2 linked regions of the Rattus norvegicus genome follow. The protein of the gene in region 1 purifies or fractionates together with the protein of each later gene. This does not show direct contact. Links are inferred from orthologs where the notes say so. Each region holds a gene or a part of one and is shown in the gene's direction. Other genes may lie near its edges.

Region 1 (4,032 bases):
GCAGGCTCTCTAGAACATGTCTTCAGCTGTGATTTTTTTTTTTTAAGGACATGAAAGATTTTTCACTTTCTAATGGCTCTTGTCCAAAAGGAAATAGTATTTCAAGTCATGATGACTTCACTCTCAATTAACCTGTGTCCTAAGGTCACAAAACAAGACACAGGAGGGTGAGGGCAAGAGAAAGAATCCACACTGAATACTTTCATAAGTCCTCAGTAGCTACTGCGGGTCTTCAGAGTGATCCTGAGAGCTACCAGGACATGGACTATATTATAGTTCCAGTCTTAAGTAACTGACTCTTGACAGATGTTTGAGAAAGCTAAAATTCTGTCTATTATAAAACTGAAAGAAAGCTCAAGAAAAAAACTAAGCATATTTATATTCAATCCCTTTCCCAGTGCCCCAAGCAGGTGTCTGCTTTGTGTCAGTGTTACTTGATGGAAATCGTAGATAAAGACAACTTTATTCAAATGTAAGAGTACAAAACTTTGATCTCAAGTTCTGAAAATACAGCCTTATGTGTTTGCTAAGTTAATATGCAAACTTTCGGTCTTCTATTAAGTCCTGGGATAGTTTTGCAGCTTAAGGCACCCCATAAGCAGAAACTAGTAAATAGGGACATATTTCAAAAGAATGACTGTAGGTCCCTGGAAACCGACAAGAGGGTTTTATTTTACAAATATTTACATTTTAAAGGAGGAGAATCGGAATAAATAACTCTACATTTTCTAAAGTAAAAGATTCCAAGGAAAGTCGGAACCCTTAAAGCTAGGAAAAGCTCTCTTTAAAGTTTGTAAGAGAGAGCTAGTGTTTACTGATTAGGTGCAGTTTGGAAGTTCGGCATCAAGGAAATTAAAGCGAGTTTGGTATCGCTCACGTTTCCCCACATTCTTTCGTCTTGTTCAGGTGACCCATTCCAGCCTAGCTGTCTCACTAATAGGAAGACTCATGAAGAATGGAAAGCCTGGAATAGACCGCCCGGCTGAGGGTCCCACAGCCACGCGTGCGCAATAGGCTCGAACACCCTGACGTCACTGAGCGCGGCCCGCCCCTACATATTAGCAACCGGAGGCGTCCGTAGCAGCAGTGGCTGCGGAGATGTACGAACTTCCGGTTGTCCCCGCAGGCCGCCGCTGCCGCCGCCGCCGAAGCCGCCCGGCGCAGTCTCAGCCACCTGCTCTCCGCCGGAGAGTGGGCTCTGCGGTTCCGGCGCGCCCATGGTCGGCGCTGCGGACCGGGAGGCCGGCCCGGCGGCTGCGGCGTGCTGAGAGGCCGGCGTGGAGACCATGCCGACCCGGCGCGGCTGCTCCGGGCCTTGCCACTTCCTGGCCTCGGCTTTCGTGCTGCTGTTGCTGCCCGCGCTGAACCAGTCCGTGGTGCTACCGTCGACTGTGCCCAGGGCGGTGCAGGAGTCCAAGCCTCTCGAACCCGGGCCGCGTACGTTGTCGCCGCTGCCTCCCGGACCCACCGCGGCCCAGCCGCGAGGCCAAGCTCAGTCTGAAGGCGCCGGGCCGCGAGGCGCGGAGAGCCGCAATGGCAGCATTCCCGGGGCGGCGTCCGAGGCGGACGGTCCTGAAGGGAAGGCCGGAGAAAGCTCTCTGGGTGGCAGCCTGGCCGTGAGTCCCAATCCTAGCGACAAGCCCATGACCCAAAGGGCCCTGACCGTGTTGGTGGTGGTGAGCGCCGCGGTGCTGGTGTACTTCGTGGTCAGGACCGTCAGGTGAGGCATAGCCTCGATGGGCATCCCCTGAGGCCTAGAGCTGGCTGACAGGAGGCCTGCTGTGTGAAGCAGGGAGAATGTTTGTAACCTGGGCTTCACTCACCCCCTTCTCTGGTCCCCAGTCCCCAGCGTCAGGGGCTGGAATCTAGGACCTTCTGGTTGGCTGTCTTAATGGCCTGTGCTACCTTAGCAGGTGACACCAGCTGTTGCCTTTCATCTGTAATTCAGTAACCTACCTTCAGCATCTTGCTCTCTGAGACTTGCCTCTGCCTTAATATACCCCGAAGTGGAAGTGCTCTCCCATCCCCTGAAATTTTGACAACACTGCTGTGCGATACTTTACATACTACTCTGCACTTGGTGTAACTCACCTGTCAGTGCTGTCGCCTGTTAGAATGCAGTCCTATTTGTCAGTCAGGGTACCACGAAAGTAAAAGCAGAAAGACCTAACGGACCTTTCACTTCTGCAAAACTTACCAGTTGTGTTTCTTAGATGGAGCCCTTGATCTATCCCTAAGTAACTTGTACTCAGTTTATTGGGTACTACATCTCTGGAGAGGTATCAAATAGAGAAGACCCCACCAGAAGGGGGTAGCCAAGAGAACAGCTGTGGAAAAGCTAATGGTTTTTCCTTTCCCTAAAGTAAGAACAGATGGTATTTTGTGAGATTTGTACTGGTTTATTTATTTCCTGTTTTCCAAATTACTTCACACTTTCCCCATAACTACACACTGCATTAGTTAATATGTCTTTAAATCCCCAAAACAGAATTTAGTGTTTTTAAAAGGTGTTTGTGAATGGAAAACCAACATGACTTGTCTCAAAGAATCTTACAGAATTTGTTCCTTTTACACATCTTCATTAGCTACAGTTTTACATTTGTTTTCCAAATAATACATTATCTTACAAGTGTATAAAATACAAACACTTTACTGGTAAGGTTTGAAATTCTACATTGAAACTGATAGCAAGGAAGTCCGCCCTGTCTAGTTAGTGTTGTATATCTTCTTAAAGAACAATCAAAAATTGTGTATTAAATTGATCCCTTCTTTGCCAAGGTGATACGTTCTTGCTGGTGGATTTTCTTTATATCCATTAACCAAATATTACAAATGATTGGATGCAGACAAAAATTTTACAGTCTATGGTATCTTTTCCTTTTTCCCATTTTTTTATTTTTTATACATGGTTTAGGCCAAATGTTAAATAGATTTTTGAAGACAAAAAAAGTCATTCTTTTCACTATTTTTGGTTTTAAGAACAGCTAACTTAAGGGTTAAGGTTTTTAAATCAAGTGTTTTCTTTGTTCAGATCAGGTCAGAATCTACATAGCCTCCCGAATTCTTTAATAAGTTTTAAGAATGGAAAGGAATTTAAAGCACTTAAGAGCGCCTCACATAAACAGTGTCATTGAGCTAGAAACTGTTGATTTACAAAGTTCAGAAAACTTGTCACTTTGTCACTGGGAAGTTAGTATTCAGAAGTTATTAAAAGCTTACGACCACCAAAGTGAGACTTAAGAAATCTTAGCGGAGAATTAAATCATTTTTACTATGTAGTTTTTATTTAATACTGTGCATAATTCCTGTCAGGACCATGTTATCCTTTATAGAAAGCATGGCTATACTGACCATTTCCTTGACGTGCTGCTTGTTCTTGTGTTTTTATTTTGTCCTCCCTTACTTGGCATCTTCTGTAAAAATGGTCACTGCTATCACCTCTCTGTGTTCCTTTCAGTACATCTTGAAAGGACTCACCCTTTTCTGATTCTCGGATGATTCCGTATCCTGTGGTATGAGAAGAGAGAGCCAGATTTAGCACTGTTGCTGATAAAAACTGCATACTTCAGGCAGCGTCTAACCCGTTGGTGTACTTCAAGTTCTACATTTAGTTGGCTGTCTAACATCCAAAGCTTAGTTGATGCTGACTAAATCTGGGTATATCCAGAACTCTTCCTCTTTCCTTCCAGATTGTGCTTTTTATCCTCATTATGGTGGTTGCTCACTCTGGCGCCTTTCCCAAAATATGTGTGACAGAGAACCAGAGAGGCTTATTTGTGTCGAGGAGTCCGTTCCCGAACCATTTCCATAACCGATGACGTGGGGACAAACTGATTATTTTCATTGGGAAATTTTATTATGTCAAACTCTACGAGACTTTGAAAATGTTTTGTCTTAATCTAACTCAGCATCACAAATACTTGGGTAGAAATAACTTATTTTGGCAGTATAGAATTACTCCAAGCAGTGACATTCTTTCTGTAGAGGAACTTGAATACATCGCTGGAGTACCGTAGGAGCAAATTAAACTTC
Region 2 (3,519 bases), on another chromosome or scaffold:
AAGCCTTATGGATTGGTTTTTCCACCTCTTGGAAGGTGGAGGACTCCCTCCTCAGAAAGCCTTATGGGCTGGTCTTTCTCCTCGGGGGGGGGGGTGGTGGGAGTGGTATGGGTTATTCCCCTACCCCCTCAAAGCCTTATGGTTGGTTAATGACTAGCTTCTCCCTGTGGTTTCTCCAGGTCATGTTAGCAGCTTCCTATTGGTCGCTGCTTGCACCAGCGGTTGAGATGGCCACCTCCTCAGGGGGCTTTGGTGCCTTCGCCTTCTTCCCAGTGGCCGTAGGCTTCACCCTGGGAGCTGCTTTTGTCTACCTGGCTGACCTCCTGATGCCCCACCTGGTGAGTATCGTTGTCCCACTCCGGGAAGCAGATTTCTCTCTGCTTGCCTTGCTGGATCCATTCCTACCTCAGGTGGTTGGTGGAGTCTAAACAGACAGGTTGTTAGAAGGAGTGAATGGTGATTCCTTCCATCAAGAAAGCACCCAGCCGCCTGTTAGCATGACTAATTCCTCGCTGTTCACTCCTTGCTGAGTTCAGATTTTGAATGTCAGATGTGTAAATGGTAGCCATTGTGGAGTGCTCACGTACATTTACGTGAGCAACCGGAACGGGGGAGGGGGGGAGAGGCTTAGGCTCATGGTTCTAGGAGAGCTTGAGAGCTGACAGAGTCATCAGGGAAATAACAACACAGCCAAAGATAGAAAGACCTTTACAAGTTCCTCACATACACCCAGGTTAACAGGAAGTGGCAGGTGGAGGGGGAGTCTGAGAGGTCGGAGTTCACCTCTGACATTTATGGCCACGTGTTCTCTGAGCTCCAGGTTTCCCCTCCCTACCATCCGGAGACTGTAAGATGTGAACCGTAACAAAAAACATCAGTGTTGGGGAGAACCAGAGCTATCGAGCTTCCGGGTGGGAACCAGGCAGGTGGTTTGGGCTTGGTTTGAGCATCCCTTTCTGACTTGAACTGCTTGGCCAAGCAGAGAGCCAAGGCCAGGCTGTGTGTCGGCAGCCAGAAGAAGCCTTTAGTAAACTCTTGTTACCACAGCACATGCTATTGGCAGAGCAGATAAGGGTTGATGTCATTCACAGGGTGGGATGTGTGTCAGGTCCCCGTACCACATACCTGCTCACATACCTAGATGGAAGGACCTCCAGGTTGGTGCCTGGCTTCACTGCTCACCCAGAAAGGGGAGGGGTATGTGAGAAAAGTGAGATTGTTTTTCTGTTAGATGGAGTCGGGAATGTGCTCCAGTACACAGTGGAACCGCCCTTGTGTGTATTCTCTCCCTCTGCTTCTCCTGTATCCCCTCCCTTATATATTCTCTTGCCCTTCCCTCCTCTCTCCCTGTCTGTCTTCTTCCCTCCCTCCTTCCCTATTTCCTTTTGCCTCCTTTCTTCCTTCCTTTCTATGTAACCCAGGCTAGCCCTGAACTCACAGTCTTCCTGCTTCAACTCCCAAACGCTGGGACTTCAGGCCAGTGCATCCATGTCTGAGCCTTTCCTCCTGTCTCACCTTAAATGACCAGCTCGAGAGAGGGAAGGTTGATCTAGATCGCTGGGCCTGGGGCTGCCACAAGACTTATCACTTGCAGGGCACACGTACTCGAACACATCCCCTGGACCTAGTCGGATGCGACGGCCGCACGGCCGACTGGCGATAGTTTCCTAAGGAACCACCATCTGTCAGCTGCTGTCTTTCCTCTGGAAGCTTGAATGGCAGAGTCTGTTTTTGCCCCCTGGACCTTTGGTTTCTTTGCTGTCAGATCTAACTGTATGTGCTGGTGGCTTTTAGAAACCATCACGGGGAGCTGAGGATTCTTAGAACTGTCTGGCCGTGTGTCAACTTCTCTTTGGGAGATTTCCCACTCATACGGGAAGGAAAGTCATGGCCAGAGGGGCCCACACTGCTGAGCAGTGGTTTGAAGTGGCCGCCTCAGTGGCTCTACACTGCCCTTGCTTGCCTCCCATTCTGCTTGCTTACTAGGGCCACCTGGGCTCCTAAGCCAGTCTCTCATTCAGGGCCCTCCAGTCGTGATTGGCCAGCCTTACTGGGACCTGGGAGAGGGGGGGAATGGTGAGGGGACCAGGCTTGGCGGCAGGTGTATTTGACCAGCTGCGTGAGCAGAGGGGATTTCTCTGGGCAGTGTAAATACTCATTGGCTACTTTGTATCGTGCTGCGTGCTGCGTGCTTTCTTTGTTGTTATTGTTAATCTTTGGCTTGTGTTTGTTTTAATTAATCTGTGCTTTAGATACAGAGATGCTTCGGGGCAAGCTCTGGGTAGATAATACAGAAAGTCAGAAATGATTGCGGAGTGGACGCTAAAGGCTGTGGGGTGGGGTTTCGGAAGGGCTGAGAAAGAGGCGCCCTAACCTTCGGTGCCCAGACCTCACTCGTTGGCAGAAGATTCAGTAAACATCTGACCTGGAACACTGGAGCAGAAATTAATTGCTACTCTTAATGGGAGAATGGGGACGCGTCTCAGAAGGTCTCACAAATAGGCAGGCTTTGTTTCTGATCACTCTAGCTTCTGAATGCGAATGTCTGCAGAGTCGTGCGCAGAAGTAGCCTGCTGCCCTGCACTTGGAGACGGGCTAAAGGTTTCCCTCCCGTGTCTCTGTTAATTTGCTTCCCAGACCTGAAAAGGGCTGCAACTTGGCCCTTCCACAGGTGCCACGTGGAGTGCCAATTAATGGTTTTTGATGACGGAATCCCTGTGGTTATCCCATATCGACTGAGCACGGGCAGGGTATGGACCTTCTGGGTCAGCGAGACTTGATTCCCTGGAAGCCTACTGCTCCCGGAACTTGGGAGCCAATGGCTTTTGAGGCTGTGGGGAGATTGGGGGGGGGGTGCAGGTGCGTTTAACTTGAGTCCTCTTCAGTTTTTAATCCATTGAGCCTTACCGCAGAGTCAGAGCGGGCAGTCAGTGGTCCTGGAAGAGCAGGGGGAGGCAGGAAGCCAGAAAGCCCTTGGTATTGGCTGGCTGGCCTTCCCATGTATGCCCGTGCGTGCCTGGGAATGGAATCTTGTTTTCCATCACCCACAGTGTGTTCTCCCCCTCTTCCCATTTCCCTTTGGGCGTCTGACATCTTAAAGAGACTGCAGGAGAGGCTGGAGTGGGAAGAGGAAGCAGCAGGTGCTTGTGGCTCTCTGTGGCTCTCCTGCGTGTGAAACTGTATGTCCCAGCCTGAGCACGCTCTGAGTGGGAGTAGAGGGCACCAGCTTCCTCCCTGGTTCTGTTATGTCTCCAGTGTCTATCAGGTCTCCTTGTGTCGGCCAGGAGATCTGTCTCGTTATAAAAACACCACTATGTGGGACAGTCACGCACAGCACGCTCGTGCTGGGGACAGTTTTTGGAGGGCAGGAGCTGCTTCGAGGAACTACCTGTGATTGATGTCTGAAGTGACATGTTGCGAGAGGCAAACTTTGACCACCAGAGGGGTGCTTGCACGTATCTCTGTCCTTTGTGGATGTTCTCCACCGCTAACACTCTTCATGCGCATCTACAAAGACCG

The links.
Region 2: the proteins of Fam174a (region 1) and Slc39a11 purify together in Homo sapiens (co-immunoprecipitation; 3 studies listed by BioGRID and IntAct, counting the BioPlex papers as one, with this or other methods). This does not show direct contact. The link is inferred for Rattus norvegicus from reciprocal best matches to the Homo sapiens genes FAM174A and SLC39A11.

Annotation. Positions count from the first base shown.
Region 1 is NC_086027.1:103,189,040-103,193,071, forward strand, and holds the start of Fam174a (membrane protein FAM174A precursor), read left to right. Parts: upstream 1-1,223; 5' UTR 1,224-1,286; coding exon 1,287-1,720; intron 1,721-4,032.
Region 2 is NC_086028.1:99,068,957-99,072,475, reverse strand, and holds part of Slc39a11 (zinc transporter ZIP11), read left to right. Parts: intron 1-179; coding exon 180-338; intron 339-3,519. UniProt on the Homo sapiens protein: Zinc importer that regulates cytosolic zinc concentrations either via zinc influx from the extracellular compartment or efflux from intracellular organelles such as Golgi apparatus. May transport copper ions as well.